2 linked regions of the Canis lupus familiaris genome follow. Each later gene encodes a partner of the first gene's protein in a complex. Links are inferred from orthologs where the notes say so. Each region holds a gene or a part of one and is shown in the gene's direction. Other genes may lie near its edges.

The links.
Region 2: GTF2F1 (region 1) and POLR2J share a complex: the UniProt entries of both Homo sapiens proteins name them as parts of the TBP-based Pol II pre-initiation complex. The link is inferred for Canis lupus familiaris from reciprocal best matches to the Homo sapiens genes GTF2F1 and POLR2J.

The regions. Positions count from the first base shown.
Region 1 is NC_049241.1:54,165,733-54,180,913, forward strand, and holds GTF2F1 (general transcription factor IIF subunit 1), read left to right. Parts: upstream 1-3,983; 5' UTR 3,984-4,446; coding exon 4,447-4,458; intron 4,459-4,544; coding exon 4,545-4,591; intron 4,592-5,112; coding exon 5,113-5,185; intron 5,186-8,642; coding exon 8,643-8,836; intron 8,837-9,862; coding exon 9,863-10,033; intron 10,034-11,546; coding exon 11,547-11,731; intron 11,732-12,270; coding exon 12,271-12,424; intron 12,425-12,504; coding exon 12,505-12,686; intron 12,687-12,797; coding exon 12,798-12,874; intron 12,875-12,952; coding exon 12,953-13,091; intron 13,092-13,263; coding exon 13,264-13,381; intron 13,382-13,473; coding exon 13,474-13,678; 3' UTR 13,679-13,726; downstream 13,727-15,181. Other genes in the region: adenylate kinase isoenzyme 1-like, read right to left, coding at 1,554-1,697, 2,274-2,473, 3,706-3,799. UniProt on the Homo sapiens protein: TFIIF is a general transcription initiation factor that binds to RNA polymerase II and helps to recruit it to the initiation complex in collaboration with TFIIB. It promotes transcription elongation.
Region 2 is NC_049227.1:7,615,216-7,630,980, forward strand, and holds POLR2J (DNA-directed RNA polymerase II subunit RPB11-a), read left to right. Parts: upstream 1-7,671; 5' UTR 7,672-7,776; coding exon 7,777-7,829; intron 7,830-8,870; coding exon 8,871-8,960; intron 8,961-10,174; coding exon 10,175-10,349; intron 10,350-10,912; coding exon 10,913-10,948; 3' UTR 10,949-11,128; downstream 11,129-15,765. Other genes in the region: RASA4B (ras GTPase-activating protein 4B), read left to right, coding at 966-1,103, 2,074-2,209, 3,661-3,781, 5,602-5,890; LRWD1 (leucine-rich repeat and WD repeat-containing protein 1), read right to left, coding at 11,427-11,567, 11,656-11,768, 11,856-12,011, 12,204-12,295, 13,409-13,549, 13,632-13,704, 14,130-14,337, 14,440-14,549 and 4 more. UniProt on the Homo sapiens protein: Core component of RNA polymerase II (Pol II), a DNA-dependent RNA polymerase which synthesizes mRNA precursors and many functional non-coding RNAs using the four ribonucleoside triphosphates as substrates.

The DNA.
Region 1 (15,181 bases):
ACACAGAGAGAAGAGCAGCGGCAAAGGGCAGGGTCCCCAGGCAGTGTGTCCTTGCGGGCAGAGACTTCTTGCGCCCGCTTCAAGCCAGACCCACTGCACCGACGCGACCCTCAAAACAGACGCTCAAGGCCAGCAGGGTCGGCGGGGGAAGGGCCTGAGCAGGGGCCTCCAGGGTCCTCAAAGGCCGGCAGGGGCCTGGCAGCTCGCAGAGATCTAGAAAATTCTCCACAAAGAAAATCCACCGTCATCGCACAGAGCCCCATTTATTTCCTTTTTTCCACCTCTGGCAGCCGCACGGGCACAAGAGAAAAGCACCCGTCTGTTCCCCTTAGCGTAAATCCACAACGCCAGCACGACCCTAGCTGGCAGATGGTTCTCGGCCTCCATGACGGAAGGCAACCCTCCGTGGGTAAAGGGGGGACCACCGTGAGGCGGAGAGGGGCCCCCCACTGACGTGGTCAGAATCTAGGCCTCGGAACTGTCCTGGGGCCTAAGGAAGGCCTCTGCCCGCCACCTAACTTGTGTGACCCAGGGCAAGTTGCCCGATCCCTCTGTAAAAAAAGCAGGATGGTGACAGTGCAAGAAACGTTTCTCTGGAATGTTCCGAAAGATCAGAGCTCATCCGAGTAGGGTCGAGAACAGCGCTGGGCTCAGTAAAAAGCTCAAGATGCATTCATGCTGCTGTTGCCATGGGGACATGCAGGCCCTGCGTTGCCAAGCCAGGCGGTTTTCAAGGGAAGCTGCGCCATCCAGCTGCCCTGCCCCAGCCCTGGGCCACCTCTGTTGGATCCCCACCTGCACTTCTCCGAAGGCATTTCAACCGATTCCAGCAAGTTCCAGAACAGTCTGGAGGCTGACAACCTGCCACAGGTTGCCTCTTCTCCCGCTTGGCCATTTCCAGACGTTCCAGTCTTATGGCTGCTCAAGGGGGCGGATGGGCCTTTTCACGAAGTCAGCGCTACTGGCATGCAGAAGGAACCTGAAGAAACGCAGCTGGCTCCTCCTTGGCACAGCTCAACTGTCCAATGTCCTGGCTTCGGGGAGGCCACCTGGGCCCGCACCCCGAACAGCCCACTTGTGTCCCTCCAGGATGTCGTTCTGTCTCCTCCTTACTGCATTCACCGCGACCTGAAATGTCTGTTTTGTCCAGCGAGTCACGTATAGGTCAGCGCCTGGCATCCTAAGAGCAGGGACTGAGTCGGTCTCATGAATCCTAAGGACAGAGCCTGTTCTCGAAAGATCTGGGGACAGGTGGTTGAATAAATAAATGAACGGATAACTAGACTCCATGTCAATGGCCCAGAGATGATACTAACCCCACGTGCTCTTCAGTGGGCAAATAATTGATGTGCAGGAAGATATTAATAGGACTTTGTCCCAGCCAGCTCCCCAGCTACCTACCCAGGTTCTAGAAGCTTCCAACCATCTCCCTCCCGACTGTCCCTTGAAAATATAAAACCCCATTTCCCCCCTTGCCATCTCCTCTCCCCCAAGTCTCACTCCTTCTGATCTCCATTCAAGGCAGGGAGGGGGGGAGCGGCTTCACGCCTCACCGCACGCTTGCACACCCTGGGGTCACTCACAAGGCGCTCAAACTCCTTGGCCTGCTTCAGCCCCCGTGGGAAGCCGTCAATGAGGAAGCCTCGGCTCTCTGGGTGAGACAGCATGGTGCTGCTGATCAGGTCTAGGATGATGCCCTGGGAAGGAAAGGGGTGGCGGGTTTGGTGCCCCGGGGGTCCCTCACCTACATGGCTACCTTGTCAAGTGCGCTTCCTGGGTCTGGACTTCAGGTGAGTCCAGGGGAGCACCTGCCCTGCCCAGCGCCCAGGATGCCGAGGCTGCTCTGCTGCGCCGAGCCGGTCTACCGGGCAGAGCGACTACTGTGTGCCAGGCTTGCGAGGTCTCATTTACTCATCGCTACCGTCCTACAGGTAGGTACGGGGGGGGACCTTCCTTTTACAGGGGAGGAAACAGGTACAGAAGGGGCCAGTGACATATGCCCAAGGTCACGAGGGTAATAACTACTGACTTTACGGAGCACTCGTTAAGTTGCAGGCACTTTGCCACATGCTTTATGGCAATGAGGTCAGCCAACCCTCACTACGGACTCCTGCTGGGAGTCCAGCTGCTCTTCCACTTTGACAGGTGGGGACACGGAGGCTCAGGGCAGCAAAGCAGTGGGAGTGGCGGCCTTCTGGGCCTCTCTGCTTCCAGGGAAGCCCATCCTGACGTACCCCCTTCTTCCCCCTGCCCCGGTGCCTGTGAGCTCTCACCGTGGGCACCAGGAGCCCCTGCAGCATGATGTCATAGATCTTCCGGCCCCGCTGGGTGCTGCGTCGGGCCTCCTGCCGCAGCAGCTGGCCCAGCCCCACGTGGCGGAAGCCGTATTTGGTCGCCATGTTCTTGCACTGTGTCCCTTTGCCACAACCTGGGCCGCCCATCACGAAGATGATCAGGGGAGACTTGAGGATGTCTGTGGGGGCCCAGGGAAGAGGTGGGGAGAGGGTTTGGTGCCTGCAGGGGCCAGCACGCACCGATGTGTCTGTGTCCACAGCCTAGTGTGTGTCCTCGGGTGAGTGACGCGGGACACGGGTCTCCTGGCATTACCCATTTTTGCCCTAGGGTGGCATCTGGGGGTGTGCATCCATGCCCAGTGGTATATCCACACAGGGCACGGGTTAGCGCTGCTACAGGGGCGGGTTTGGGGGGCTGCGAAGAGGATGCAGACTGCGAGCAGGCCATGCCCTCTGCACACAGCATCTCCTTGAAAACCTCAATGACTCGATTGTCCCGTTTGACAGCTGAGGAAACAGGCTCAGACTTGCGCCCCCTCTGGGCCATCCCACAACGCCCTCCTCCTCCTTCCCTCTGGTCCAGCCCCCCTGGCCTCTTCTGTCCCTTGAACTTGCCAAACTCATCCCTCTCCCGCTGCTCCCCCTGCACGCCAAGTCCCTGCTCCGCCGCCTTCAGGACACAGCCCACCCGCCCGCCCATCAGGCTTCCCCTCCCGACCTCCCCCCGCATCATCCCGTCCCAGGGCCACATTTCCTCCACTGCAGCAGCCACGGTCAGCTAGGATTTTGCCTGTTTCCTTGTTCTTGTCCGTCTCCCCAGCCACACTCTGTGCTCCGGGAGGGCAAGGACCAGTTCTGTCTTGCTGGTCCCCGGGTTTCTACCAGTTGCCACGGTCCCTGACGTGCGGTAGCGGGTGATGAGCAAACGAAGGTGCGTGGCTACCAGGCGTCTCTAAGGCAGCGCAGTAGTCGATAATGCAATTTCCGTGTCTTGCTTCCCTCCCGCTTGGCTTAGTGAATTCCCAGGCATCCCACAGGGCCCAACGTAAACTTTAAACCTCCCCTCTCCTGGGGGCCGCAGAGCCGGCTCCTCTCTCCCCGTGGCAGCCCTGCTCCCTCCTGCTCGCCGATCCCATTTTTCTGAGACTGTCTCCTTCCCTGTCTACACTGTCATCTCCTGGAGGCCGGACAGCTAGTGTGACATACTCGCCGTGGAGTGCCCAGAACCCCGCGCAGCAGGTGCCCAAGCGGATCAAAGCGCGGCTGATCCTCGAGCACGTGCAGCTCGGTGGGTGGGGGGCGGGGCGTGTGCACACCGGCCTGGGGTGTGGGGTACCTGCACCTCCCTCGTGCCCTTCACGGCCTCCTTCCTCCCCCCCGCCCCGTGAGCCAGCCGCCCCTGCGACGTTACCCTTCTCCTGGGGTCGCAGGGGCCTGCCCACCTCGGGCAGCTTGGACTTGCACAGACCCATCCCACCAGCGGCCCTGGGGTGGTCGCGCCCCATCCCCACCCGGGCCCTGACTCCTCCTCCTGGCTCGGCTCTACGTCACAAGGGCCCGATCACTTGGCGAGACGATGAGGTCTCCCCGGGGCAGAAGGAGGAAATGAACCCAAAGGGGCGCAGCTGGCGGCGCCCCAACAGCTCGGCGCGGACTAAGAGGCCCCGGTCGCTATGGTGACGCGGCCTCCTCCGACTCACTTCCGGAGTGCAGTGGCGCATGCGCGAGGCGCCCGAGAGCTCGCGAGGGAGGCTAGGTTCCTCCCTCCTCTCCCAGGACGCCCCGCGGCCCCCGGATGTGATGTCACGAGGAGGCGTGGCCACAGGCTGATTAAATCAGTCGCGCTTTATAGAGAGGCGCGACGCGGCTTCCGCCGCAGCCGGGGTGTCTTCCGCGTCGGGGTCGGTCTGGGCCGTCCGCTCCGCGGGACTCGGGGAGCTAGGTGACGCGGAGGAGGTTGCCGTCGCGCCGCGGCCCGAGTGTCACGTCCAGGTTAGGCGCAGGCGCAGACGCGGCCGGAGCGGTTCCCCGAGAAGACCGACTTCTGGGTAGCGGCCCCCTCGATCCGGGCCAGAGACCCGACGGCGCGCGGGCGGCTTCCCCGGGACTGAGGGGCGCGGGCCGCAGCGGACCCGAACCCCCGACCGTCACCATGGCGGCCCTCGTGAGTACACGGGGGAGCTCGGGGGTCGCGGCGCGCCGCCTCTGCAGCCCCCCACTCACCCACCGCCCCTCCTTCTCTGCCCGCAGGGCCCCAGCAGCCAGAACGTCACCGAGTATGTCGTCCGAGTTCCCAAGTAAGTCCCGCAGCCCTCTCCCCGCTTCCTGAGCTCCCAGGCCAGCCTGGCGCCGCCGGTGATGCCGCCTCCCGAGGAGCAGGGACCTGGGCCCAGGGCTGGGGTTGAGCGAGGTGCATCCCGTGTTTGCAACGGAATGAATGAATGAGCCCATTAGTGGGCGGTACGTCGGATGCAGCCCCCTGGCCTAGCCTTCTCTCGGCAGGAAGGCCTTTTCCCTGGCGTTGTGACTCCTGTCGGTCCTATAAAACCCAGCCCCACGATCTTCCTCCTCTGGGAAACATGCCCTGCCTGCCCTCCCCCGCCCCCGCCCCCAGGACAGAGGTCTCCATTATTCCCACACCTTGGGCACCCCCCGTCCCCCGACCTTTATGCCTCCCCTCCTGCTCTTCTTCAGCAGAGGGGTCGGGAGAGACCGGGAACCCCTGAGGGCTTCTGTGGGTCCCCAGCGTTGCTGAGCCAAGGGAGGGTTTGTTAAATGAACGGTGAACTGAGAGCAGCCCTCTTTTTGCCCACCCCAGAAACACAACGAAAAAATACAACATCATGGCCTTCAATGCTGCTGACAAAGTCAACTTTGCTACCTGGAATCAGGTAAGTCCCCGTTGGGAGTGAGCGTAAGAACCTGATCCTGCAATAGGCGCTTAGTTACAGTGGTAAAACTAAGGCTTGGCTTCGACCCCGCTCCCCGAGTGGGGATAAGACGATGTACTGAGGCCCAGGCTGAGCTGCTAGGGATCCCTGTGAGGAAGATTGGGCAGGCCCCACAGGAGGCCTCATGAAAGGATGGCATTTAGAAGTTGTGCCCCCTGACGGGCATTTCCAGCCTAGAGTCATCTGGGCAAGGCCGAGGGGGCTGCAGCCTGCAGATGGTTTTTGGAAGCTCTGTCCATGGGTGCTGCTACAGCAGAATACCGCAGACCGGGTGGCTTTTAAACAACACATATTTATTTCTCACGGTTCTGAAGGCTAGGAGGTCTGAGAGCAAGGCGCCAGCAGATGTTTGGTCTGGTGAAGGCCTGCCTCCTGGTTCGTAGATGTCTGTCTTTTTACTGTGTCCTCACGTGGCAGAGGGGGTGAGAGAGCTCTTAAGAGGGCACTCATCTCATTCACCAGGACTCCACCCTTCGGACCTAATCCCCTTCTCAAGGCCCCACCTCCCCATACCATCACACCGGGAGTTAGGTTTCATCATATGCATTTTGGGATAAAACACAAACATTCAGGGATCCCTGGGTGGCGCAGCGGTTTGGCGCCTGCCTTTGGCCCAGGGCGCGATCCTGGAGACCCGGGATCGAATCCCACATCGGGCTCCCGGTGCATGGAGCCTGCTTCTCCCTCTGCCTGTGTCTCTGCCTCTCTCTCTCTCACTGTGTGCCTATCATAAATAAATAAAAAAAAAATTTAAAAAAAAAAAAAAAAAAAAAAAAAAAAAAAAAAACACAAACATTCAGTCTATAGCAGAAACCTTTAAAGGGTTCTAAACAGGGGAGTTATAAACTGATCTGGGTGCTATAGGATCAGGGGCAGACAAAGGGTGTTGCAGGGTGGAGGCGTCGGCGGTGGTCCAGGTGAGTGACGACTGGGCATGGAGCAAACAGCGGTTGTGAGAAGTCAGTGGATTCTAGTGTGTTTTAAAGTGGAGCCAACATGATTTGTTAATGATTGGATGTTGACGGGTGACAGGGCCGGATGGACAGAGTATTGGGAGTTCAGTTCTCAACATCTTATATCAGACACCCAGGAGGAGACAGTAAATAAGCAGTGGAGCATCTGAGTTGGGAGACTGGGAGGGAGCATCTGGGCATTGGGGGCAGCATTTGAAGCCACAGAGACTGGACCAGCCCAGCACAGGAGTTGGCCCAGGTCTAAAGTTGGCAGCTTCAGGCAGCTCCTGCTGCTCATCCTGTTTTCAGCACCGGTCTGTCTTTTGACTGTTTTTAAACATCCCTTCATCTAGTTGAGCAAGTGAGGCTATTTGAAAGAGACGTTAGTCCCTCTGGATATTGGGCAGGTGGATGCTTGCTCAGGGCACCCTCTTCCCTTGTAGGCTGCCTGCCCCCCAGCATCTCCAGCCGTATGCACATTCATATACAAACTAACATGCTCCCCCAACCTCTGGTCTCACCTAAATTACCCAGAGAAGGTGGAGTGTTTCCAAATCCCTGATCACTCTGGGGGTGGGGGTGGGGTGGGGCATTCTTTATCACTGATCATCCAAGAGGGAGATACCCACACATCAGGGGGTCCCAGCTTTAAACACCCCTCACTAAGAGGAATAACTTGGTAAATACCTTGGGAACATACTAACATACTACCGCCATCCCTCATTGAGTGGGAGAGCCCCTTTTCCCTCATCCACAAGAAACCAGAGGAACCTGCCCCTCGTCACCCATCACCTTGACATGCAGCACCTGAGTAGTTATCACCTTTTGAGATGTGTGACCTCCCAGCCACTAGTAACTTGAGGGTGACACCCTGTTCCCTGATCATCATGGGGGGGACATCACTCCTTGTTTTTACCACCCAGAGGTCATGCCCTCTATAACCTAGTCACAGAGAGATACAGCCCCCAGAATTCTCCTTGCCTAAGTGGCACACTTAGGAGGGGATTGCATTCTCTGGGGAAGAGATGAACCTGCTGGGTTGTCACTCATTACCCCAAGGAGGGGGCAGGTCTAGCACCTAAGCACTTATAACCACAAGAGACATCGCTTCCCCCAGTAGCTGCTCCTCACCCATGAACAACGTGTGGGCAGAAACCCCTTCCAAATGCGTTCTTTCCAGCAGCTGTCCCTGGAGAGCACCCCCCAGGCTAATGGTGAACAAGCCAGGCAGGGGCCCTGCCCTTTGGGGTGCCCACCCTCAGGGAATCAGGCCTGTTTACTCCCCTTTTGTAATGAGGTACCCCCTGGGCTGGCTCCCTGAAGAGGAGCTGTGGGAAGTACACTGATTTCTCCCATCCCGGGGGTGCCTTTCTTCTAGCCTCAGGCTGGGGAGCATGACCAGGGAGCCCAGGCTAGCTTGGTAGCCACTTTCTCTCCTATTTCGAAGGTTTCTTCTGTTGGACTCTAGCTTTTGGTTTCCACCATTCTCATTCTTGTCTTTTGTACCAGGGGTCAGCAGACTATTTCTTCAAAGACCAGCTAATTATTATGCTTGGCCCTGTTGGCCAGTGTCCGGAGCAGCCCTCCGACCCCGCCTCTACACAAGTAAAGGCATTGCAATCTGTAAATGGTTGGGCATGTGCATGCCAATAAAACTTTGCTTTTCCCCCCACTTCCGGATGCTTGGAGGATCTTTTTGTTCCCAGCCATCAGAAATCTCTTGATAATGGGGAGTGACCTCAGTCATCTGGCCTTTTTCAGTTAATATGTTTTGGCAGTTGTTACATACTTTTGCCTGTGTTTGGTCTTCCATTATGTGGAGGCGGCCCCCTGTATTAAGCCAGTCCCCTGCTGCTGTGTATTAGGTTCATTTCCAGTCTTTTGCTGCAACAGACAGTGGCGCAGTAAACAGCCCTGTGTGTGTGTGTGTGTGGGGGGGGGGGGGGGGGCACGTGTGTGTATGGCACTTCACCTCCACTGTCTGGAGGAGGAAGCTCTAGGGTAAGAACTGTGTGCATCTTAAAATATCTTAACTGCTGCTGAATTGCCTGGAGATCCGAATTGGAAAACAGCCTTTAATGGTGTCTAAATGCAGAGAGAGAGAGGAGGAGTGACCAGTTCCAAGCAGGTTGTTTTCATGGTTTTTGCTTTTGTCCTGTCACCAAAATGATCTATTTTTTTCTTTATTGATTTAGAAGTAATTTCAAACTCTGAAAGGCTGCAAAATAGAGCTAGTACAAAGCTTACCCCCAACCCTTCCCCCAGATGCACAGAAAGGCAGTGTCCTGTCCCTTTTTTGTTCAGGAGGTTGGCTCTGAAGGTCTGCAGCTCAGCCTGGGTCGGGGGTCAAGGGTGTTCCTTGGGGGGGCAGGCATAGCTTGAGCAATGGCGGGCACCCTGCTGAAAGTGTCTGTTTCCTGCCCAACCCTGCCCCGTTGCCCCAGGCCCGGCTGGAGCGAGACCTGAGCAACAAGAAGATTTACCAAGAGGAGGAGATGCCTGAGTCTGGTGCGGGCAGCGAGTTCAACCGCAAGCTTCGTGAGGAGGCTCGGAGGAAGAAGTATGGCATCGTCCTCAAGGAGTTCCGGCCAGAGGACCAGCCCTGGCTGCTCCGCGTCAATGGCAAATCGGGCAGAAAGTAAGTAGTGGCAGCGGTGAGTGCCTCCCGTATCCTCCTCCTGTCCTAACTCCACTGGGTGTCCAGTCGCAACCTCCATGTCTCTCATGGGGTTTTATTTCTGAAGATCCAAGCTGCTGCTCACACGGGAGCTCTAGGGGCCAGGGTTTGGGAAGCCTGAGAGCCTGCCCTGATCACACACTGCAAGGGGCCACCTAGAGACTGGGGGTTGTGAGAATTGGGAAGTCAGGTGGATGGAGGGCACTCCAGGCAGGCAGAACCACATGCACAGAAGCATGAGATGGCCCGCAGACCGCTAGGGACTGTCACAGGCATGACAGTGACAGAAGGCAGGTGGGTAGTGCCAGACAGTGGATGCCAGGATGCAGCTGGACTGTGGGGGGCCAGGGCCCAGGGGAGCCTTGAAGGTTGTAGGCAGGAAAGAGCATTCTGTAAGATTATCCAGACTTTTAGGGCAGAGAAGGGTGAGGGGAGAGGTCAGGAGGAGGCTAGCAGGAGGAACCTGGAGGCAAATCCGCGGGGGTCTGACTGCAGGGCCCTTGCTTCACAGCTGATGTACCGTGGTCCTTTCGGAAAGGACCACGATACTTACACAATGAAGTGAGCCCTGAGTGGGCTCTCAGAATGATCAGAGCAGAGGGGTGGGGAGTGCTGGCCCTGCTTTCCGGATATGGAAATTGAGGCTCACACAGTTGAAGGGCCAGCCCAGGGTCTCCTGACTTTTGATTTTTTTTTTTTTTTTAAAGATTTTATTTATTTGAGAGAGAGCATGTGTGGGGGAGGGGCAGAGGGAGAAGGACAAGCAGACTCCCTGCTGAGGGCAGAGCCCAATGACTTAGGGTTGGATCCCAGGACTCCGACATCATGACCTGAGCTAAAGTCAGACACTTAGCCAACTGAGCCACCCAGGTGCCCCTGGATTTTGCTCAGAGAACCCAGATAGTTCTGGAGAGGGGGCAGGCCAGGGGGCACAGGCAGGCAGAGGGCTGGTCCTGAGGGCCAGGCTGTGACCATGATTCTTTGCAGGTTCAAGGGCATAAAGAAGGGAGGCGTGACAGAGAACACGTCCTACTACATCTTCACTCAGTGCCCTGACGGGGCCTTTGAGGCCTTCCCGGTGCACAACTGGTATAACTTCACGCCGCTGGCCCGACATCGCACACTCACTGCTGAAGAGGCCGAGGAGGAGTGGGAGAGGTGAGTGAGCCCAGGCAGGCCTGGAGGGAGGCAGGACCCTCTGAAGGGAGACACTGCCCTCTCCCAGCTTCCCAGAAGGGGGCTGAAACACTTGGAAGTGGGGTGTATCATCATAGCTTTCTGCCTGGCAGGGAGCTGGGTACTCAGTGGTAACCAAACCAGACTCCACCAGGCCGTGGGGGAGCTCCCAGTTCAGTGGGGGAGACAGACACAAGCATCAGGGACTACAGGGCCCTGAGAGAGCTGGGGAGGGGTAGGTGAGCTGAGTCATGGAGCAGGAATCGGCAGAGCAGGGGCCTCTCCCTGGCCCACTTGGCATCCCCCAGGCAGGAGGGCTATGGCTGGATCAACTACAGGCAAAATGTATGTAATGTAAAAGCTTGCCATTTCATCCTTTCTAAGTATCCAGTTCAGTGGCATTAAGTACATTCACATTGTTGTACGACCTTCACCACCATTCATCTCCAGAACTTTCATATCTTCCCAAACTGAAACTCTGTCCTCATGAAAGTTATTCTTTGCCCCCTTTCTCCAACCCTGGCTTCCACCATTCCACTTTCCTTCTCTGAGTTGACCCTTCAAGGGACCTCATACGAGTGGGATCATGCAGTATTGGTCCTTTTGTGACTGGCATGTCATTCAGCAGGTCTTCAAGGTTCATCTGTGTTGTAGCATATATCAGTATTTCATTCCATGTTTTAAATTTTCTTTTTAATTTTTTTTTTTAATTTATTTATGATAGTCACAGAGAGAGAGAGAAAGAGAGAGAGAGAGGCAGAGACAGGCAGAGGGAGAAGCAGGCTCCATGCACCGGGAGCCCGATGTGGGATTCGATCCCGGGTCTCCAGGATCGCGCCCTGGGCCAAAGGCAGGCGCCAAACCACTGCGCCACCCAGGGATCCTCATTCCATGTTTTAATTAAAAATAATTAAAAATAACTAAAAAACACACAATAAAATTTGTCAACTCTAAGTGTACTAATCAGTAGTGTTAAGTCCACTCACATTCTTGTATCAAAGAGCTTTACTCCTTCCCATGCCACTGATGAACTTTGCTTGTGCTATTAGATACAATCCTAAGACTCTCTTTAGATAGTCATATTTTTAAAAACTTTAAAAACTTTTACCATCACGGTAAATGGAAACAGCAGTATTATTTGTCATAAAAACAAAGGCACCCATAAACTACCATAAAAACACATGGATGTAAATACATTGTGGCCAAATTCTGTTGTTGCCTGGGAAAGGCCTTGAGCTTGAGAGATGCTGGGATACCAAACCACTGAGAGCTTCTCCTTGAGGGACATAGGACTGAAAGGAGTCAAAGAAATTCAGCTCTCTGCATGTAATTTCAGGGTGTTACTTGCCAGGGTTGTGATCATCCCTCATATCACCAAAGTTGTGTCTATGGTTCCCCTTTGGGGGAGTGCCTGGTGTAGATGCAGTTAGGAGGCCCGGTTTCTGGAGTTAGGCCCCTTGTCACCTCCCACTGCATCCCATTCCCCTGCCCACAGGAGAAACAAAGTCCTGAACCACTTCAGCATCATGCAGCAGCGACGGCTCAAGGATCAGGATCAGGAGGAGGAAGACGAGGAAAAGGAGAAGCGCAGCCGAAAGAAAGCCAGTGAGCTGCGCATCCACGACCTGGAGGATGACCTGGAGATGTCGTCTGACGACAGCGAGGCCAGTGGTGAGGAAGGTGAGGCCGGTGGAGCCCCCGGGGTGACTGGGTGATCCGCACAGCCTGGTGATCTGTGCTTGCGTCGTACTTTGTCAAGGTGTCTGAGTGATGGCCCAGGGAGGTTAGTGCCACTGAAGCTTAGTCACAGCCCCCTGGGAATGAGAGCAGGGCTCAGCAGGCTACACAGGCCACTGGGCAAGCACCTGAGTTGGTAGGAGGCAGAAAGCTACAGGAAGGTCTCAGCTGTGGCCTTTATTGGGGCTCCCACGGGATGTGCAATGCGGAGGGGCAGAGGGTGCAACAGCTTCAGGTTGGCCAATTCAAATAATTCTGGCCACAGGCTGGTTTCTGATTGTCGGTACCCGGTCCTGGGGGATGCAGGGAAGGAGGTGGCGTTCCTGAGTGTGAGAACCGGAGAGAGGGAGTCAGGGGTGTAGACTTGCATTGGTCGGGTTTGCTTGGGAGACGTGGGTCCTCGGGGGCTTCTGCCGAGGCGGACCTCCTCGGATACACCAAATAGGATGAGCGCCAGCCTGAGCCCGCCTCTGCTTCCGCAGGGGGCAGAGCCCCCAAGGCCAAGAAGAAGGCACCACCCACCAAGGGGACCAAGAAGAAGAAAAAGAAGAAGGGCTCCGATGATGAGGCCTTCGAGGACAGCGACGATGGGGATTTCGAGGGCCAGGAGGTGGACTACATGTCGGACGGCTCGAGGTAAGGCAGGCAGGAGGCGGCCGAGGGGTTGGGGCCAGGATGGCCCAGGCCGGCCCTCACCCTCTCGTTCTGTCTTCTAGCAGCTCGCAGGAGGAGCTGGAGGGCAAGCCCAAGGTCGTCCAGCAGGAGGAGGGCCCCAAGGGCGTAGACGAGCAGAGCGAGAGCAGCGAGGAGAGCGAGGAGGAGAAGCCACCCGAGGAGGACAAGGAGGAGGAGGAGGAGAAGAAGGCGCCCACGCCCCAGGAAAAGAAGCGTAGGAAAGGTGGGTCCCCTCCCTGCATCCCAGCCCACCCCCCACCCCCTAGCCCCTTACCCGAGGCGGGGCTGGCACGGGTGGGCACCCCGGCAGCCACACCTCTCCTCTGGCCCCCAGCAGACAGCAGCGACGAGTCGGACAGCTCGGAGGAGAGCGACATTGACAGCGAGGCGTCCTCGGCCCTCTTCATGGCGGTATGGCCCGGCCCGGGGGCGGGAGGGGGCAGGCGACGGGCTATCTGTAGACTCATGTCCCGGACCCCATCTCCACAGAAGAAGAAGACACCCCCCAAGCGGGAGCGGAGGCCGTCGGGAGGCAGCTCTCGGGGCAACAGCCGGCCGGGCAGCCCGAGCGCGGAGAGTGGCAGCACGTCCTCCACCCTGCGGGCCGCCGCCAACAAGCTGGAGCAGGGTGAGCGGGACCCAGCCTCGCTGCCTCCTCTTCTCCCACCCTTGGCCCGCATTCTGCTTCGGGAGCCAAGGCCTGTGTGCCCCCTGGGCCCCCTGCACTGGGATCCTGGCACCCCTCCGCCTGGGCTCCCCCACTTCGAGCACAGGACTCAGCCCTGTTCCCGCTCCCCCAGGCAAGCGGACCAATGAGACGCCGGTGGCCAAGCGTCTGCGGCTGGACCCGGGGCCCCAGAGCCTGTCGGGGAAGTCAACCCCTCAGCCCCAGTCGGGGAAGTCGACCCCCAGCAGCGGGTACGTTGCGGGGGAATGGCAGGGGCGGGGCGGGGGTGTGGGGAGGCCGCCTGCGGACGCCCGCCCACGCCGCCCTCTGCTTGGCCCCACAGAGACGTGCAGGTGACGGAGGACGCGGTGCGCCGCTACCTGACGCGGAAGCCCATGACCACCAAGGACCTGCTGAAGAAGTTCCAGACCAAGAAGACGGGGCTGAGCAGCGAGCAGACCGTGAACGTGCTCGCGCAGATCCTCAAGCGGCTCAACCCCGAGCGCAAGATGATCAGCGACAAGATGCACTTCTCCCTCAAGGAGTGACGGGCGGCGCCCACCCACCTGCCCAATAAACAGGCTCCGTCGCCAGAACCTCCTGGGTGCTCGCATTGTCTGTCACCTGCTCCCTGAGTCCCAGAGCCCCCTTGTCAGTGCGGGATCACCCCGGGCCGTCCTCTGGTCTCCCAGGTCCCTCCCTCCGGGAACCTTCCCCTGCCCCTTGGAGCTGGCTCCTTAGTCCTCAGCCCATGGTGCTCTCTGCGTGTCTGCGTGGGCGGCCGTCCCTCCAGCTGGCTTCCGGTTCTGCCTTCAGCTGTGCCCACCCCCCCCCCCCCCCCCCCCCCCCCCAACCCATGAAGTGCTCGGCTCCCAGGCCCGGCTCTCCATTCGGCTCATCTCTGCTTCCTCTTCAGAGCAGATCTGCTTGTGGTTTGACCCCTTCTTTCACATTTTAAGCGTCTGGTCTTACCACGGTCTCTGCCAGGCACCTGGTTCCTGACGCTTGCGGGCCTCCTGACTCCTCTCCATGATTGATTCTTGTGTTTTACAACTTGGGATGGGGACCTGGCGCAGGGGTTCTGGGGGGGCCTCCTGGGGACAGTCGGCTTTACAGGCAAATCTTCCAGGTGCATTTGGCCTCAGCTTCCCCCCCACCCCGGTGTCCCAGGAGCCCCTCACCAGGCCCAGATTAGGTGGTTCTCAGCGGGTGGGCTCTGTCCTAGTGGCTGAACCCTTTTGTTGCCAGTGTCAGCACCTGGGCCCTATTTTTCAGCTTTCCAGCGATGTTTCTAGGGCTTCCCTTATTTCCAGCGACTTCGTTAGGCATTTATTTTTATCTCGTATTGCTGGCGCGCTGCCGTGGGAAGGCTCTTTGAGTTCATGGACAGTTTCATTGCTGGAAATGGAATTTGGCAGCTGGCGCTACTTTTGAACCCCTGTACTGAGGGATCTGGCTGGGGGGCAGGCTGCGGCGCTTCCGTCCTGCCCGAGGCTGCACACGAGGCGGACAACCTCCCCACCCTGTTCCGCGGGCCCTGGGCCACCGAGCAGGGATGCCGGAGATGTCAGGCTAATTCCTAGGAATGTCCCAGGTCTGTCCAGCCTCCCTCCCCAGCGTTCTGCCAGGCCTCTTGGGGCCGCAGGAAGGCAGTGTTGCCCCTGGCCTCCCCACGCAGGCCGGAGCCACGTGCCGCGGTGGTTAGGAGCAAGGCCCTGGGGTTCAGCAGGATGTGGCTTCCAATCCTGGCTACTGTTCAATCCCGGTGACTCTGGACCGATGACTTTCTGTCTGAAGCTGGTCTCCGCAAGCACCGCAGTAGCCACCACACCAGAATGACCGAAGCCTCCGTCACAGTGGAGTTCCCGTCGCTCCCTGTCTCTGCTGATGTAAAGCGAGCAGCGGTCCTGAGCTTGTGCCTCTGCTCACCTGCGTGGGAGGAGTTCCTGGCGCCAGATTTGTCCAGGGGCAGCGGGGCTGATTGGCGGCTTCCGGAGCGAATGCTCAAGGGCTGCCGGTTTGCACCCCTGCCCACAGCGTGGAGTAGGGGT
Region 2 (15,765 bases), on another chromosome or scaffold:
GGTGAGGGAGCTCCCTGGGTGACCTGTCAGCCTGGCCTCTCACTTTCCAGCTTCCTCCACTCTGGGCAGCTGCCCAGCGCCTGAGTCCCCCTTGCATTTTCTGTAGCCTCAGCAAAGCTTGGCAGGGCCTTCCCTTATCACACTCTGGGCCCTTTCCGCTCCTGGGCACTGGGCTCTGCCGTTTTGTGGGCACATCCCGTGCATCCACCTTCTGTTTGCTTCCTGTTTCCTCTCTAGCAGCTGCTCCCCAGAACAGCAGGCAGCATATCCTCTGCCTTTTGGGAGGCCCCACCCCAAGATGGCTCAGATGTGTGTCCCCAGGCCTCCCTCCAGGATTTCCCACTCCTCCCCCAGAGATGACCCTGCCCTTCTCTGCTCGTTTATGAGGCCAGGAGGGGTGGTGGGCTCGGATGCCAGGCTGGGGTTGTGTGGGTGCTCTCCTGAGGGCCATGGGAACTGGTTGCTTGAGTGATGAAGGCCCTGATGAGTTCCGATGGGAAAGCCCAGGGGCTGGGGGCTGCTAGCACAGGTTCAGTTTCCTCAGGTTGGGGGCTTCTCGGGGACATGAATCTGTCAGACACAGGGCTTCTCCCTGTCCCATTTGTATCTCACCGTATCAGATGATGGCAGGAGTGGGGAGGGGCCGGGAGGTGGGGAAGGTAAAGGTAGGTGAGAAAATTATTCATAAGGGAAGAGGCACAGGGCCTGGTCCGGCGGGTGCTACTTTCCAGGCCTGAGGACTGCTGGGAGTCCAGACACTTTTCCGAAGCTCAGATCTCCCAGGACCACTGGGAACCCTCGAGAGGCCAGGCATTTGGTCACTATCTGTCTGGCTGAGGTCACTCACAGAGCTGGGTCCCCTGTGCCAGCCCCTGGTGCTGCAGATGCGGAGACTAAGGCCCAGGACTAGGGCGTGGAGTGGTTCTAGCTCGGACCCTGAGTCTCCTTGTTCTGGCCCACTCCAGAAAAGTGCCCTCATCAAGCTAGCCAATATCCGGGCAGCAGAGAAGGTGGAGGAGAAGAGCTTTGGCAGCTCACACGTCATGCAGGTCATCTACGAGGATGACGCAGGCAAGCCCCAGACCATCTACCTGCAGTGCAAGGTGGGGACCATATGGAGGACACTCAAGGGGAGGGGTGCTGTGAGACTAGCCGCCTGGTGTGGGAGTGAGTCAGGCCCAGCAGAGTGTGAGATCTGATGTGAGTGCACAGTGTGTGTGTGTGTGTCCTGGGCTCTGGGGACCTGTGCCCATGGTGTTCCCTGGGCCCGTCTAGACGCCCACATGTAGGTCTCTGTGTAGTCCAGTGTACGGATATGTACGTTCCTGTGATTCCAAGCTTTGCACATTGTACGTTTGTGGGAAACTGGATTTCTGAGTATCTGTGTTGGTGCCTATGTGTTTGTGGTGCGCGTCAACGCATATTAATCACCTGTTTACACAAGCATGTGGCTTTGAGTACATGCTCTCAAATTCTTCTCTTTAGGTATTAACTCATTCATTCATCTAAGACTTGTTTGTGGCGCCCCTGCAAGGCTCCCGGCGCTGTTCTTGGGGGTGGGATACAGCGTCAGAGGACAAAGCCTTGCCTTTATGGAGCTTGTCCCTCAGGAGACGGATGCTAAGTGAATATGTAAAATGTCACATGGTGACAGTGCCTTGGAGGACACAAGGGGAGAGGGAAGGGACACAGTCGTGTTTAGTAGTGTTTAGTGTTTAGGGGCATGCTACTCTCCCCGAAGGGCGAGCAAGAGGGCCTCTGACAGGTGGCCTTTGAGCTGGGACATTGTGAAGGAGAGAACGTCTAGGGGAAGGATACAGGGAGTAAGAAGGAAGGCTGGAGTCAGAGGGGGTCTGGCTTGTCCCTGAGAGTGACTGTCCAGAGCCACAGGGGAAAATGGTGACAGTGAGGCCACCACATCTGGTTAGCAGGTCATACACTGCCCAGGGGATGGCTGAAGTAGGCCCACTCTGTTCATCGGCCCATGTGCCTGGGAGCTCCAGGAAGGGAGGGAGGGCTTCCTGGAGGGGGTGGCCTCAACCCTCCCACCTACCCTCCCGGCATTCCATGCAGTGTGTGAACGAGCTGAACCAGTGGCTGTCTGCGCTACGGAAGATGAGCATCAGCAACCCTGGCCTGCTGGGCTCCTACCACCCCGGCATCTTCCGCGGGGACAAGTGGAGCTGCTGCCACCAGAAGGACAAGTCAGGTGAGAGAGGAGGCCTGTACCCCCTGACACTGCATCTGTCCACAACTGGCTCCAGGGTCCTAGCTGGGACTGGGGCCTTTGAGCCCTGGCTTGTTGGCCTGGCTGGGGAGCCACCTGTGCACCTGCGGGGACTAATCGGGGGCCGGCTAGTCCCTGCGGGTGCTCCGGGTGGGAAGGGTTCTGTGACAGGGTAGTTTGGGAGATGGTGTGTGGTGTGTGTGACACACATGGGCACGTTGAAGACCCTGCAGAGGCCTGAAAATGAGTTGGAATACCGTCTCTGATGCCATGTAATCCAGCACTCGGAACTCACGGGGAGTTAGGGGAACCCTTTCTTGCCCAGTGAGGGAGGTTCTGGCAAAACCAGTGTTCCAAGAACACACTTCAGGAACTCCTTGCTAAGGAGGGCACATGAGGGCTCCTGAGTTTGCCAGTGCACACCTGGCAGCCTGATACCGAAGCTGCGGGTGGGGGGACTCCAGGCACCAGAGGGATGGCCCATATGAGCTTCTGCTAGAACTTTCCGTGATAGCGGCAGTGGTATGTATCCGTACTGCCCAGTACTGCACTTGTGCTTGTCACGAACATGTGTGGTTAGGCTTGAACCATGGCCAGTGTGGCCCAGGAACTGAATTTTAAGTTTGTTTTAATTTTATGTAGTTTTAATTAATTTAAAATCAAATGGCCTCCTGTGGCTAGGTGGCTACCCTATGGGACAGCTGAGTTCTGGAACTGTTAAGATCTTCCTTCCCTTAACCTCGGTCTGCTTTACAAAATTATTGTTCCCCATTCACAGAAGAGACTCAGCCCCTGGAGCCTGTGGCCTCTGGGCAGGGCCCAGCCTCAGCCCCTGGAGCCTGGCTCGGGGAGGCCCTGGGAAGCTGCCCCGCCTGCTCCAGACCACCCCTGGGTCTGGGAGGGGGCAGTGGCAGCTCTTTACACGGGCATCACTGGTTGGTTGGCCTGACTTGCAGCCCCTGCTCTGACCTTGGTGGTGATAAATCCTGTCACTGGGGAGGGGGGCTCCCCATGGCGCTAGGAGGCATAGGGCCTGGTAGCCCATTTTATGGAGGAGGAAACTGAGGCTAAATGGGCTGATGCCTCTGCCAAGGTTGTAAAACCAACGAGTGACAGGGCCAGCTCCTTCCAGGGCACAAACCCCTCAGCTTCCATCCCCATGCCACTCCCTTCTTCCTTCCAGGCAACCAAACATCCAGAAAGTTGTCCAGCCCCCTGACTTGTGTCTTGTGTGGCTTCCGTGCTCTGCAGTCATGTATCCTTGGCCCTGGGCTCAGGAGTAGACCCGAGAGGGATGAGCTGCTGCCCTCCTGGGGCCCCTGAGGCCGTTCTTGTTCCCCTTTAGCCTCTTGTGTCCCCACCTGCACTATCACCAGGTTGGATGTAAGCTCTCCCAGGGCCTGCCCATGACTCTGCCCTCTCTGTGCCCCCAGATCTGGGCTGTGACAAGACTCGGTCACGTGTGACCCTACAGGAGTGGAATGACCCTCTGGATCATGACCTGGAGGCCCAGCTCATCTACCGGCACCTGCTGGGTGTGGAGGCTATGCTGAGGTGAGGAGGCCTATAGAGCCCCAGGGAATGTGGCCAGCGAGGACCGGGGTGAGGGACAGGGCCAGGGCCAGGGTGAGGGCTCAGGACTGGTCCTTGTGGTCGCTCTTTCCACTGCACATCAGGCCGGCCCCTGCCCTGCCTGCCTGGGACAGCTACACCCGCGGAGGGGCACATGGGCCTCTGTAAGCTCTCCCTCTGTCCTGCCCGGGCCCACCCAGCCTCCCAGCCCGTCCGGCCTTCCCGTTGTGCCCTTGGACCACAGAGCTTGTCCTCAACCCTGGCTCTAGCTCAGAAATGATCAGAATGCCTGGGCCCTACCACACCAACTCAGAGTTTCTGGAAGTGGAGTCCAGCATGGGGATATCTCCAGGCAACCCACTGCTTCCTAAGAGCGCTGTTTCCCTGAGCCTGCTGGAAGGGGGCAGTTTTCTAGCCCAACCCTGGTCCCGGCAGGGCCCAGGACGGGTGGTGGTGGTTGTCCGTGTTCCTCATCGACTTTTCCAGGGTTTAATCTTTCTCAAAACCCTTCAAAGCTCATGGGGTCAAACTGGAACCACTCATTCCCCTGTGAGCCACAGTTTCCGGTAGCTTTCAGGTCATTCTGCAGCCACCTCCTTTTTTGATAGTGTGGCCCCCTTGCTTGGTGACTTCATCCTCCACCTACGGGATGAAGCCACCACCCTGTCTTCTCTGTTCCTGGGACCCACAGTTGTCCTCCATTTAAGCCAGGAAGCGGCAGAGCAAAAACTCGAACCTGAGCCACCTTGGGTTTAGGTGGGCCCCAGCACGGGACCGGTGCCCATGGGCCTCACCGTAGCACCCTGCCTTGAGAGCCTCCCCACCTCTAGAACCACCCTTTCCATTCCACACCGCCAGACCTCCTGCCCCATTGGCACCTCTGATTCCGACTCAGGGGTCTGTCCTTACTCCCCGTCGTAACTGATCACTGCACACTTGTGTTGGGAACAACACTGATGTATTCTCTTGCAGTTTGTGTTGAATAAGCAAATGAGCAGAGCGGTTAAGGGACCAGGCCGACCCCACGGGGCCTAGAAGGCATTTGAGGAGGAGGAGCCTGTTAGATCTTAGCAGAGGGACACATCTCCTCCAAAACAAACCGTGGGAGACTCAGAAGGGCCAAGCCAGTGCAGTCCCTAAGCAAGGAACTTCAGGCATGAGGTCCACATGGCTGCTCACTCTTCCTCCATGTGAGCTCCTGGGACTGTGCCTGAGGACCAGGGATCTCTGGTGAACCCCGCTTAGGACTCGTGCTTAAGTTGTCACCGTCTCCTCTTCCTATAAGAAAGAGACTCCCTCCACGGCCAGTTAATATGGGGGATTTTCAGGCCCCAACTGGCCCCTTTCCCCAGGGCCCTCCAAAACAGAAGTGACGTTCCAGAGTGCCTTCCATCGACCCACCGCTGGAGGTGGGGAGGACCAGTGGGGGCTGGAGAGGGAAGGTGCTAGGGGGCCAGAGGACCAAGGCCTGGGCCCCTGTTTTTCTTCCCCACAGAAAGTGTCAGCCCCCCACTCCTGGGATCCTCTCCAGCTCGGGAGGCCTGCAATGGGTCACCCAGCCTTCCTGGCAAGGGCACCACGAGCTCTCATTCGGTCCTCCCCTACAGGGAGAAGCAGCGGGAGCTGAGTGCAGCAGGCACAGAGGCAGGCTCTGCACTTAGGGGCTCAGGGGAAGGTAGGTCCTCCTAGCTGGACTCCCACACTGGCCTAAGTTCCACTCAGGGGTGCTGTGGGTGGGGCCCAGACTGGTGCTGGTGGGTGAGGCCCTGCCTGCTCTGCCCTCATCTGGCATCTGCCTCCAGCCCCCAAGGATCCACTGGCCCAGCTGTTCCAGGTGCTGCAGGACCTCCGGGAGGCCCACAGATCCAGCCCAGCCAGCGTACCGCCCTCGGAGACAAACCGCCTGCTGGAGCTGCAGACGTGAGGCCTGCCCCACATGCCCTCACTGAACCCCCTGCCAGGTGCTCGGAGACCCCCCCCCTGGTGCGCTTTCAGCTCTTCACATCACTCCGTCTCACTGGGGAGCGGGGCTTAGGGCTCTCCTGGGCTGGGTGGATTGGGGGCCAGAGGCCCGTCCTTGCCCACCTGTAGTCTCTAGGGGACTTTGTGAGCTCCTTCTCCTCTATGAAGCCTGGCTGTTCCTCGCAGCCCTTGCAGCCATCGCTGGCACCACCCCACTCTCTCCAGGGGCCCTCTCCTACCCCGGCAGACCTAGCCAGAAACCAACCCTAAGATGGCCCTTGACCAGGTGGACTGATACTCCTTGGACTCACAGAGGTGGGAGGGAACATGGGGCCCACCCAGGAGACCAAGCCTTGACCTCAGCATCCCCTCAGCTCCTGGCCATCACATCACCTGCTCCCCTCCAGCCACTGGCTGGGCCCCCCCGGGAGAGCTTTGCGGTGCTGTTGCTGACAATAAACCTGCTGTGACTGCTTGGGCTCTGGGGTCTTGTGATGGGGGTCAGTAGAGGGACTGGGCTTGGTGTGGATTCCAGTGGCTTCTTGAGTGTGGCCAAGGACCGGAGCCACCAGAATAACCTTCGTGCATCCCCTCTGTTCACCCCCCCACACATCCTGGGAGGACTTGTTTCTTCCCCCAACTGCTGTTCCCACCATACTCCTGGGACCCCTGCTCCATCCCCCCCCAGGCTACAGAGCCTGAACAGTGCCTCACCTTTCCTTCCTGCCCCCAGGTGGCTGAGCCTGCACCCCCCCTCCGCCATCACCAACACCCTGTTCTCTGGCTCCTTCCTTAGGACCTCACACAAATCCTCATGCTTTTTGAATCTCGGTGGGTTTCCAGGACCTTGTGGTCCGGAAGTACAGAGCCCAGGGTCCACTGCACCCTAATGAGAGTGAAGGGGAAAGTAGTGTGCACTACTTATGGGGCTGCCACAGGTAGAAGCCTGGGTTTGAACTGCATACATAGCCCCCCAGTGGTGTCACCGCCCACCCTCTCTTCCAGGAGGGTCCTGGATGGGGTGGCTGCTGCAGCCTGTAGGGGTGACAGTGAAGCAGGGCCTGGCACTGTCCCCACGGCTCATGTACCCCCACACCTCTAGGTTCTGTCAGGCGGGAGTGAGGCCCCTTTGGGGTAAAAACTATACCCCTTCTCTCCACCCCCAGCCAGCCAAGTGGCATCCTAGCTTTGCCCGGATGGCCCAGAAGGGTCGCGGCTACGCCCCTGTGCATCATCCCCTCATGCCTTCTGTTCCTCACCAGTTAAAGCCCCCCCCGTGGAGTCCAGGCTGGTGTGGGCCTCTGGCCAATGGCACCTCCTCACCCCAGGGCCCAAGCTTAAGCAAGGAATAGCCCTTCCCAGGAAATGGAGGCTCCTGGTTTCCCGGGCAGGTCCCCGGCGGCTCCTCAGATGCTGCGGCTACTGGAGCCGACGGGAGACCCAGCTCCTTGCCTCAAACAGCGCAGGTGGGGTCCGTCCACACAACTGCGGTCGGCAAAATAGCAACCAGCAGTGCCAACGCACTCCTCTCGGCCGCCAACCGCCTCCGCCGCCGGGCCGTCTGCCTGGCAAGCAGCTCATCGGCCCCAAGCCCGCTCCGCAAAGGGGCGACCACGCGGGGGAAGGTGGGGGTCGCGGCCGGCGGCCTTCTGGTCCTAGGACCTGACGCCTCCTGCCGGCCCGCACTGCGCCCTGGCTCCATTCTCCACTCGAGGGCCTCGCGCTGGGCCCTCCAAGCGCATTTGCAAAGAAGGATCTTGAGGGGGGGGGCGGCCCCCGGGGCCGCCAACGCCCCCGCCAACGCCTCACGCATGCGCAGAGCCACCAGCGCCTCGGTCCTCCCGGGCTCCTCTCGCCTGCGCTACATCCCCCGGGCCTCCAGGGGGCGAGCGGCCGGCCTCCCCACGGGGGCCGTAACCCGGAAGCAGCCGCTAACCCGGAAGAGGTGGCGTCGTAGAGGGTCCTGCAGGCGTCGGGGGCGGCCCTGCGGCTTCGGCTGCGAGTGCGGCGCTAGGATGAACGCCCCTCCCGCCTTTGAGTCGTTCTTGCTCTTCGAGGGCGAAAAGAAGTAAGTGGAGCTGGCGGGGGCGAGCCTGGGGTCCGTCCAGTAGCGGGAGACGGAAGCCTCTGTGTCCGCCAGATTCGAGCCAGCCCTGCCGGGCGGTGGCGACCGACCCCCTTCCGCAGATGCGGAAACTGAAGCTCAGAGAGCCAAGGAGCTGCCCCGGCCCTCGGGGAGTGGCGGTGTGCGTGGCGCCAGAGTGCTTCCCCCCGGGATCCGGCAGCCCCCTCGCTCGCGTGCCTGGCCGCCGCCTCCTGCGGCTGCAGCGGGGTCCGGCTCTCAGGCTCTCGTCCCGCCTTCGCTGGCCTCCGGAGAACCTCCAGCGGCTTCTTGCCCGCGGGGTGCAGGCGGTGTAGTCTTGCTGTCTCTCAGCCTGGGCTTGGCTCCTGGCTCCCCCACTTAACGTCTCCGTGTCTTTGGGCAGGTGGCTTAGCCTGCCTGAGGCCTGCTTTCCTCATCTGGAAAATGGGCTTCTTGCTCTGTTAAATCACAGGATTTTCTCAAAGGGGAGCTTGAGATGATTTACGGGAAGTGCTTAGGCCAAGGCTCAGCACACAAAAGACTGTCTTAAACGTCGGCTTTTCCTTCTCTTAACAGCCTGGTGTGCGGGGCTCTATGTCTAGCCCTTGCCAGCCACTTCGTCTCCCTTGGGAGCAGTGGTTGGCAACTAGGGGCTATTTTGCTCCCCAGGGGACTTTTGGCAACGTCTGCAGACACTTTCGTCACATAGGGGCTGCTGCTGGCAGCTAGTGAATAGAGACCAGGGATACTGCTCATATCCTGCAATGTACAAGACCACCCCCTGCGGGAAAGAATGATCCACCCTAAGATGTCACTGGTGCCAAGGAGCAATCCAGAGTAGGTGAGGGTCCCGCAGAATCGGGGCATAGCCACTCTGCTGCTCTGAGTCAGAGGTCTTTATGGATGAAGAGATGGAGGAAGGCTTCGAGGTGGAAGTGGGGCTTAAGCCTGAGTTAAAGGGCAGGATTTATCCTGGGGGGAGGAGGAGAGCCCCGTTTCCCATCTGTTGCTACCACCTCTTCCTAGGATTACCATTAACAAGGACACCAAGGTACCCAATGCCTGTTTGTTTACCATCAACAAAGAAGACCACACACTAGGAAACATCATCAAATCGTAAGTTCCGAGTCAGAGGCTCTCAGGCAACGTTTAATGGGGCTCTTTGAGGCAAAGCACACGTCCCAGATTTCCCGAAGTCTCTCTGAGCTGCCGGAAGGTCTGGGTGCTTGTTCTGGCAATTCACACGTTTCAGTACGTTTTCCCCAAAATGCTGCTGCCCTGGATCTGTTCCCACAGCTGTATTTCTGTACTGGTTCATTTATCCGATGAAAGGAAGTGAACGTGTGGCAAAGCCAGAGAAACCTAGGCCGACTTGCCAGAGATTGGAACTTATTAGAATGAGGGGAGAAGGTGGGGGAGAGGCTCTGTGATTATCCGATGCTCATGTTGGTTAGCAGGTGTGTAAGTACATTAGCGAGGTCCTGGCCAGGTAAGTGGTCAGTGATGTGGTTGCTGTTTGGGCTCAAGGGCTTTTGTCAGAAAAGCACCATGGGTGAATCTAGGTCTTTCCGAGGGTCATGTGTTTGAGACCACTGGGCAGGAGCCCACCTCACCTCTGGGCTGAAAGTAGGAGGTGGGGCTGGCTCTCTCCAGTCTGGCTGGCCCCACCCTGAGCCATGCCGGTGCTGCTCCCAGGCCCTTCTGCTCCCCTACTCTGGGAGGCATGTCCCCACCTGTGCAAGAGCCTTCCCTCTTGGTGCCTGCTGCTGACTGAGCTGCTCCAGAGAATCCCCCGCGGGCCCAGGGCAGAGCATGGCATGCACACTTCACCTCACAGCCAGGCACAACGGGTCCCAGGTGTGTGGGCAGCAGCGTTGACCAAAGGGCTTCCGTTTCACTAAGCACTCAGAGCCTGAGCCTTTCCTGCTGTGCCAGACGCTCTTACTGGGCCAGAACCAGCACATTGTGTTCTGGTTACTGAGCACTGGCTGCCTGGGGAGGGCTCTTTGGTGCTGTTGCAGGCCCCCGACTTCCCCTGAGGGAAGTTTGCTGGAAATCCTCTTTACCAGCTGGGGTCCTGGATCCTCATGGATGTAGGGGTGGGGGGAGGAGGGAGGTGTCCTCATGAGGCAGATGTTCCAGATGTTTTACTTGGAGATATCTTTGGGAAATCAAGAGCAGGAAAGCAGCTGGAGTCAGCCATCTCCTCCCTGCCCCACCCCCCTCGCTTCTAGGCCTCAAGCCAGTGGGAAGGCTCCTTGGTTAGAGGCCTGGTGGTCCCAGGTGCTAGGCCCAGCCCCCATGTCACACTGCCCATTTCCTGATCTCAGACAGCTGCTGAAGGACCCCCAGGTGCTGTTTGCTGGCTACAAAGTCCCCCACCCCCTGGAGCACAAGATCATCATTCGAGTGCAGACCACACCAGACTACAGCCCCCAGGAGGCCTTCACCAACGCCATCACAGACCTCATCAGCGAGCTGTCCCTGCTGGAAGAGCGATTCCGGGTGAGGAGCCGGGCGGCGAGGGGTGTTTGCATGCTAGCCAGTATGGCCAGAGCTGTTCTGATGCCCACACCGACAACCCCTGGGTAGTTTCCGGATTTATTGTGGGGTGGGGGCACGTGGTGACTGAGCAGCAGTGCCACTACAGCCTTGAACGAGCTTGGACTAAGGGGTTTTAACAGAGTTGAGGTCGGGGGCCTGCTATCTGCAGGCATGGGTGGGAACTGTACTGAGTGCTCCAGGGTCTCCTTGGGACTGCTCCCCCAAGCCTTCTCTGGTTAAGGCCTGGCTGCTTCCAGGTATCTATCTGTACATGGGGCAGCTCATCCCAGGCAGGGTGGGGTCCCACAGTTGAGGCCGAAAGGGGATGGTCCCACCTGTCCACGCAGAGGGCCTTAAAGTCTGACTTGGGTGTCAAGTGGGAAAGATCCACAGCTTCTCAGGCAGATGGGTGGGGTGTGCTCAGAAGGCCCTGGGGTTGCTGACAGGACAGCAGGGCCCGGGCAGACCTCGGGTCACTGGGGCTGCTTTCCCACTAAGCAGCTGCCCCCTCCCTCTCCGCTCAGGTGGCTATTAAAGACAAGCAAGAAGGCATCGAATAGTGGGCTGGAGGAGTCTTGTTTGGCTGGTTCCTACCCTGCACTGGAACCTTCTCCGGGCTTCCAGTAGAGGCGAGCAGCTTCCCTGGCTTCAGGGACATCTTGTTGAGCTCCTCCCCCCAGAGTTGGTGTGTCCTGTACACGGAGTGTTTTACCTTCCTAATAAAGACCTGGCTATGGGAAGCAGTGGACCTGCTCAGTTTCACAGCGGACAGGCCCTGGGCCCCCGACTCCTAGACCGACAACCTGGAGCCTGGGAGGGCAGGGGTGGCCTGAGAGGCATGCTTTAGGAGTCTGTTCAGAGCTCAAGGTAGGAACACCAGGGGAGCCACAAACAGCTCTCCAGCCTTCCCTCAGACAGCAGAGAGTTTATTAATAAAATATATTCACTGATGAAAAGATTCTCGTCCTTAGCCCCAAAGCTGAATAAGTTAAGTCATGTCCCTGGTGCTCTGCCGCAGAGGCAGGAACCCCACTCTGGCTACTGTCTCTTCCAGATGGCCACGATATTGGAGTCCGTCAGGGCGGTGAGGTAGGTAAAGGTGGGGTTGGCCACCACCGTGTTCACCATGGTCTTGGTCACCATCTGGCCGAGCGCCCAGGGTTGGGGCCACTTAAGAATCTGGGGTGGCAAGAAGAAAGGAGAGCTGGGTTCTGGCGTTCCACACACGGTCCCCAGCAGTGGGAGAGGGCAGGCAGGTGGCACCTACCTGTGTGGGGGCCTGCGGAGCTGCTGGCCGTGGAGGCGGCTGGGTCAGGATGTGCCTGACGTCGTAAACCCACACGTTGCCCTCTTCATCTCCACACAGCACTATCCCCTCATCTGCTAGGACACATGGACAGAGGTCAAAGGTGGGGTGGGGCTCCCAGGGGTGGGGGGCGGGATTGGGGGGGAGGTGCGTGGGCTCACCGGGACAGGTGCTCAGTGAGAAGTAGGCCAGCTTGGTGGGGGACCACTGCAGCCGAGCCAAGACCACCACTGCCAGAGTGGACTGCTTGCCTCGGCCCATCCAGGTCTGGCTCCAGCTCCACAGGCAGATGGTACCCAGGCTGTTCCCCTTGGAGGCTGTGGGAGGGAGAACAGAGAACTGGGTGGGGGGCCCCCCTAGATGTTTCCTGGTGCACAGTAGGGACCACTCGGGAGCCCCTGGTCCTAAAACCCAGCCCAGGGAGCAGTAGCCCACAGAGGCCTTACCAGGGCCTACCTGGGCTCCCGGGAGGCCAGGCTGTTCCCCCCCCTAGGGTGGGGCTTACTCACCCACGACATCCTCATTCACAAATGCCAGCCCATCCACTCTCCGCCCGGCTGCCTCCGCACCCTCGGAAAACACAAACTCCACCTCACACACCCTGCAGGGCAGAAGACGAGGTGGTCAGTTGCCTCGTGCATGCTGGGCAAGTGGCTGCTGCACGTCCCCACATGGAGAAGTGTGTGGGGTCATGTTGTGTCTGGAAAGGCCACCCAGCAGTGGCCCACAGTCCTAGAGATGCCGCCCAGAGCCACAAAAGCTGGCCAAGTACCTAGAGGAGGAGAAGCAGGCACAGCTGAGGCTTGGACTCCTCCCCAAGGCTTGGAGACCAGACAGACCTGGGGACGGGGCACGGGGCTTCACTCTCAGGTGGGGTATGGGCCGGCACAGGCACTTGCCTGGGCAAAAGCCACCAGCTGGCCCAATGCTTCTGTTACTTGGCTCCACAGAGCAGCTGCTTCACTGCCGTTACCTCCCCCCCCACCCGCGCCCCACCCGAAGTTCTTCCCAGACTACTCACGGCACTGAGGACAAAATTCAGTCTTACCAGAGCCAGTGTCCCCTGCTCCAAGCAACCCTGCCACCTCATCCTGTCCTCTCCACTTCCCAGGCTGGGCTGAACCTCCCTGGTCAGCCCACTCTCCCGCCCCTTGCACAGGCCGCCACCCTAGGCCTGCACCTTCTTGCTCTCTGCTGCCCCAACTCCCTTGCTAGGCTCACGTGGAGAAGGCGAGCCTGAGGACCCACCTCACCTCACAGTTCTCTCAACTCTTTCCTTCATACTTGACGTTACAATTCGTGGGGTTTTAATGGGCCACCTTTTTTAAACACCTACCTCTGCCAGAAGGCTGTGGGCCCCACGAGGGCAGGGATGCCATGCCGAGCATGGTCTCCCACCTTCTAGTGGTACAGATAAACCTTTCCAGGCTTCGTGTCTGCCCAGGCACTACCTCCCCACCGCCCAGGTGAGGTGACCACAGCTGGGAGAACCGACCCAGCCCAGTCCCACAGCCAAGCAAGCACTAGAGGGAGGAACAGGGCATGAGACTAGAGGAGATGGGGACAGGCCAGCCTCTTGAAGAGGCCCCTGAAAATGGCCTTTGGCTGCCTAGAATAGGGCATGGCTTGGGCATCACCCATGGCAGATGTGCTTGGGGTCAGACATCTGGACTAGCTGCTGCTTAGCACCCAGACTTGGCTTTTGAGGCCTCACCTCCTCTTCTGCGGCTGGTCCAGCCGCACGTCCCAGCAGCAGCAGCCACCCTCACAGCCAGCCAGCAAGTAGGTGTCCGGACAGGAAGCCACAGGGCAGAGGCGCAGGGGGATGGATGCGGTATCAAGTGTGAGCAGCTGGCTGTCGGCAGGGGAGGAGAGGATGCGGCCACGGACCCAGGTGTCTGCCCTAGCAGCCCCCCTGCCCTGCCCCACGGCCTCACCTGGCCTGGAATTCGTAATCGTGGTTGGGCACCCCGAGGTCCCAGAGGATGATCCGCTTGTCATAGGAGGCGGCTGAGGAGGGGATGGGAAGGGGCTCTGAAGAGGCCCTACTCCCACCTAGGCTGAGACCGTGGTCGCAAGGCTGGCCCTTCCAAGGAGGGCAGGGCCACAGCTGGGAGACCCAAGACTCATAGGCCACCCATCCCTACCTCACCACGCCCCATGCCAGGCAGCCATCTTTTTGCAGGTCTCTGCTCACATACCCCTTCTCGGGCTTACCACACTTGGTGGGGTGGGTAAGGGGGCCAGGATCTGAAGCCTGATCTGTTGTCTCCAATGCCATGCTGCTTCTACCATGGCCAGAGTGGACCTTGGTGGCCTGGTGTGAAGGCCACCAGCCCCAGGACCTCCCTGGCATCCCAGGGAGGGCATACTGAGGTGTCAGGCTGCAGGACAGGGTGTTGGGAATGTCTCAGGTGTGCGGGAGAGGGTCTTACTGAAGAGATGGGTCTCGTGGGTGGGGCTGAAGCAGAGGGTGGCAATGGCCTTCTTGTGGGCCCGGATGACCCCACAGCAGAAGCCAGCTCGCACGTGCAGCAGCCGAACCAGGCCCCGAAGGCCTGCAGCCGCCAACACACTCCAGCGCTTCTTGTGGCCTGCCTGCGTGACCACAGTCAGGGCTGTCCAGGCCACTGAAAAGAACTCCTATGGGGGCAGGGGGCACGGGCGTCACCAAGGGGCCGAGTCTGGACCCCCAACCTTAGCACTGTGCCCCCGGCTGTGCAGGAGCCAGGCCCCAGCACTCACCTCGCCAGGCGCCTTGTACTTGTGCAGCACGATGCCTGTCTGGCAGTCTATCACACACACGGCCTCCCCGCCACACGTGGCCACCGTCTGAGACGTGGCCCCCGCCTGCCCTGTGTTGAAGATCAGCCCAATAAAAACATTCTGTGAAGTCTGCCCCTGCAGCTCCTTCTTCCTGTCCTTACAACACCTTGTAGGCGGTCTCTCCCAGGTCCCCCATTCACTGAGCCCCTGACCCCTGCAGGTAGCATTCCCAGGCGCCCAGTCTAGATAGCTCGTTCTGCTCCTTCCCCGTGGTCTTGCCCTGCCCTGCCTGCCCACCAAAGACATACCCTCCTCCCAGGCTGGCTCAAAGGCGCAGGCCCAGAGCTGCGTCTCCAGGTCCCGAGGGCTGTTGTTCTTGCTGTGACATTGTAGAAAGTGCAGGGGCTCCAGGGTGGGCTGTGGGGGAGGGGGGCAGTGGGGGGTCACAGCTGCCCCAGGCCTTGCTCCCTGCCCCCTTGCTAGCTTACCTGGCTGCCATCAGAGCCCTCGACGTGGGCCGACGAGGAAGAGGTACACACCCGCTTGTTGGGAGACAGGCTGAGTGGGGTGTCATCCGGCCGTTTCAAGGCCACGGGCTTGGCCTATGGAAGGTCAGGGCTGGCCTGAGGGCCTAGGGACCACGGGCCCATCTGCCCAGGGCTTGCGTCCTCGGCATTATAGGCTGGGCTGCACCCTCCCATGGGGGGAGAAAACAAGACATGGCCCAGGGTCAGTGCAAAAGAGCTCAGGCATCAGAGGCCATCTCCTGGGCTTGTTTCCAGGACCCCATTCCCCCTTTCCTTACAGTCTCCTTAGGCAGGAAAGGCCGAGGCAGGCCTTGTGGGCGCCATGGGACCACGCTTACCCTGGGCTCCCGGGCAGCTGTGGCTTTTGGAGGTCTCTCTGGGACGTCTGCCTCCCGCACCTGGATCCCACCAGAGGCCACCAGCTCCTCAGAGATCATCCGCACCTACGTGGGGCCAAGAGAGCAGGACGCTGGGTATGGACCTAGGGGCCCCGGCCCCTCTGGATGCCCAGGGCAGAGGGAGCCCTGGCTTCCAGAGTAAGCTGCCTTCCCTGACCCACCCCACTTTCCACCACCCCTCAGGGCCAGAGACCTCTAGGGCAGCTGAAGGCATGGAAGCCATTGAGGAGTGGGGAGAACCGACTCCCAGCATAGCAGGGTGAGGTCATACCCGCCACTGGGTGAACTCGCTGAGGGACTCAGGCCCATAGCGGACGTCCCTGACAGCAGACCTCACAAAGTCGGCCTGGGCCTTCTCTGCCTCCTCTGGGCTCAGTGCA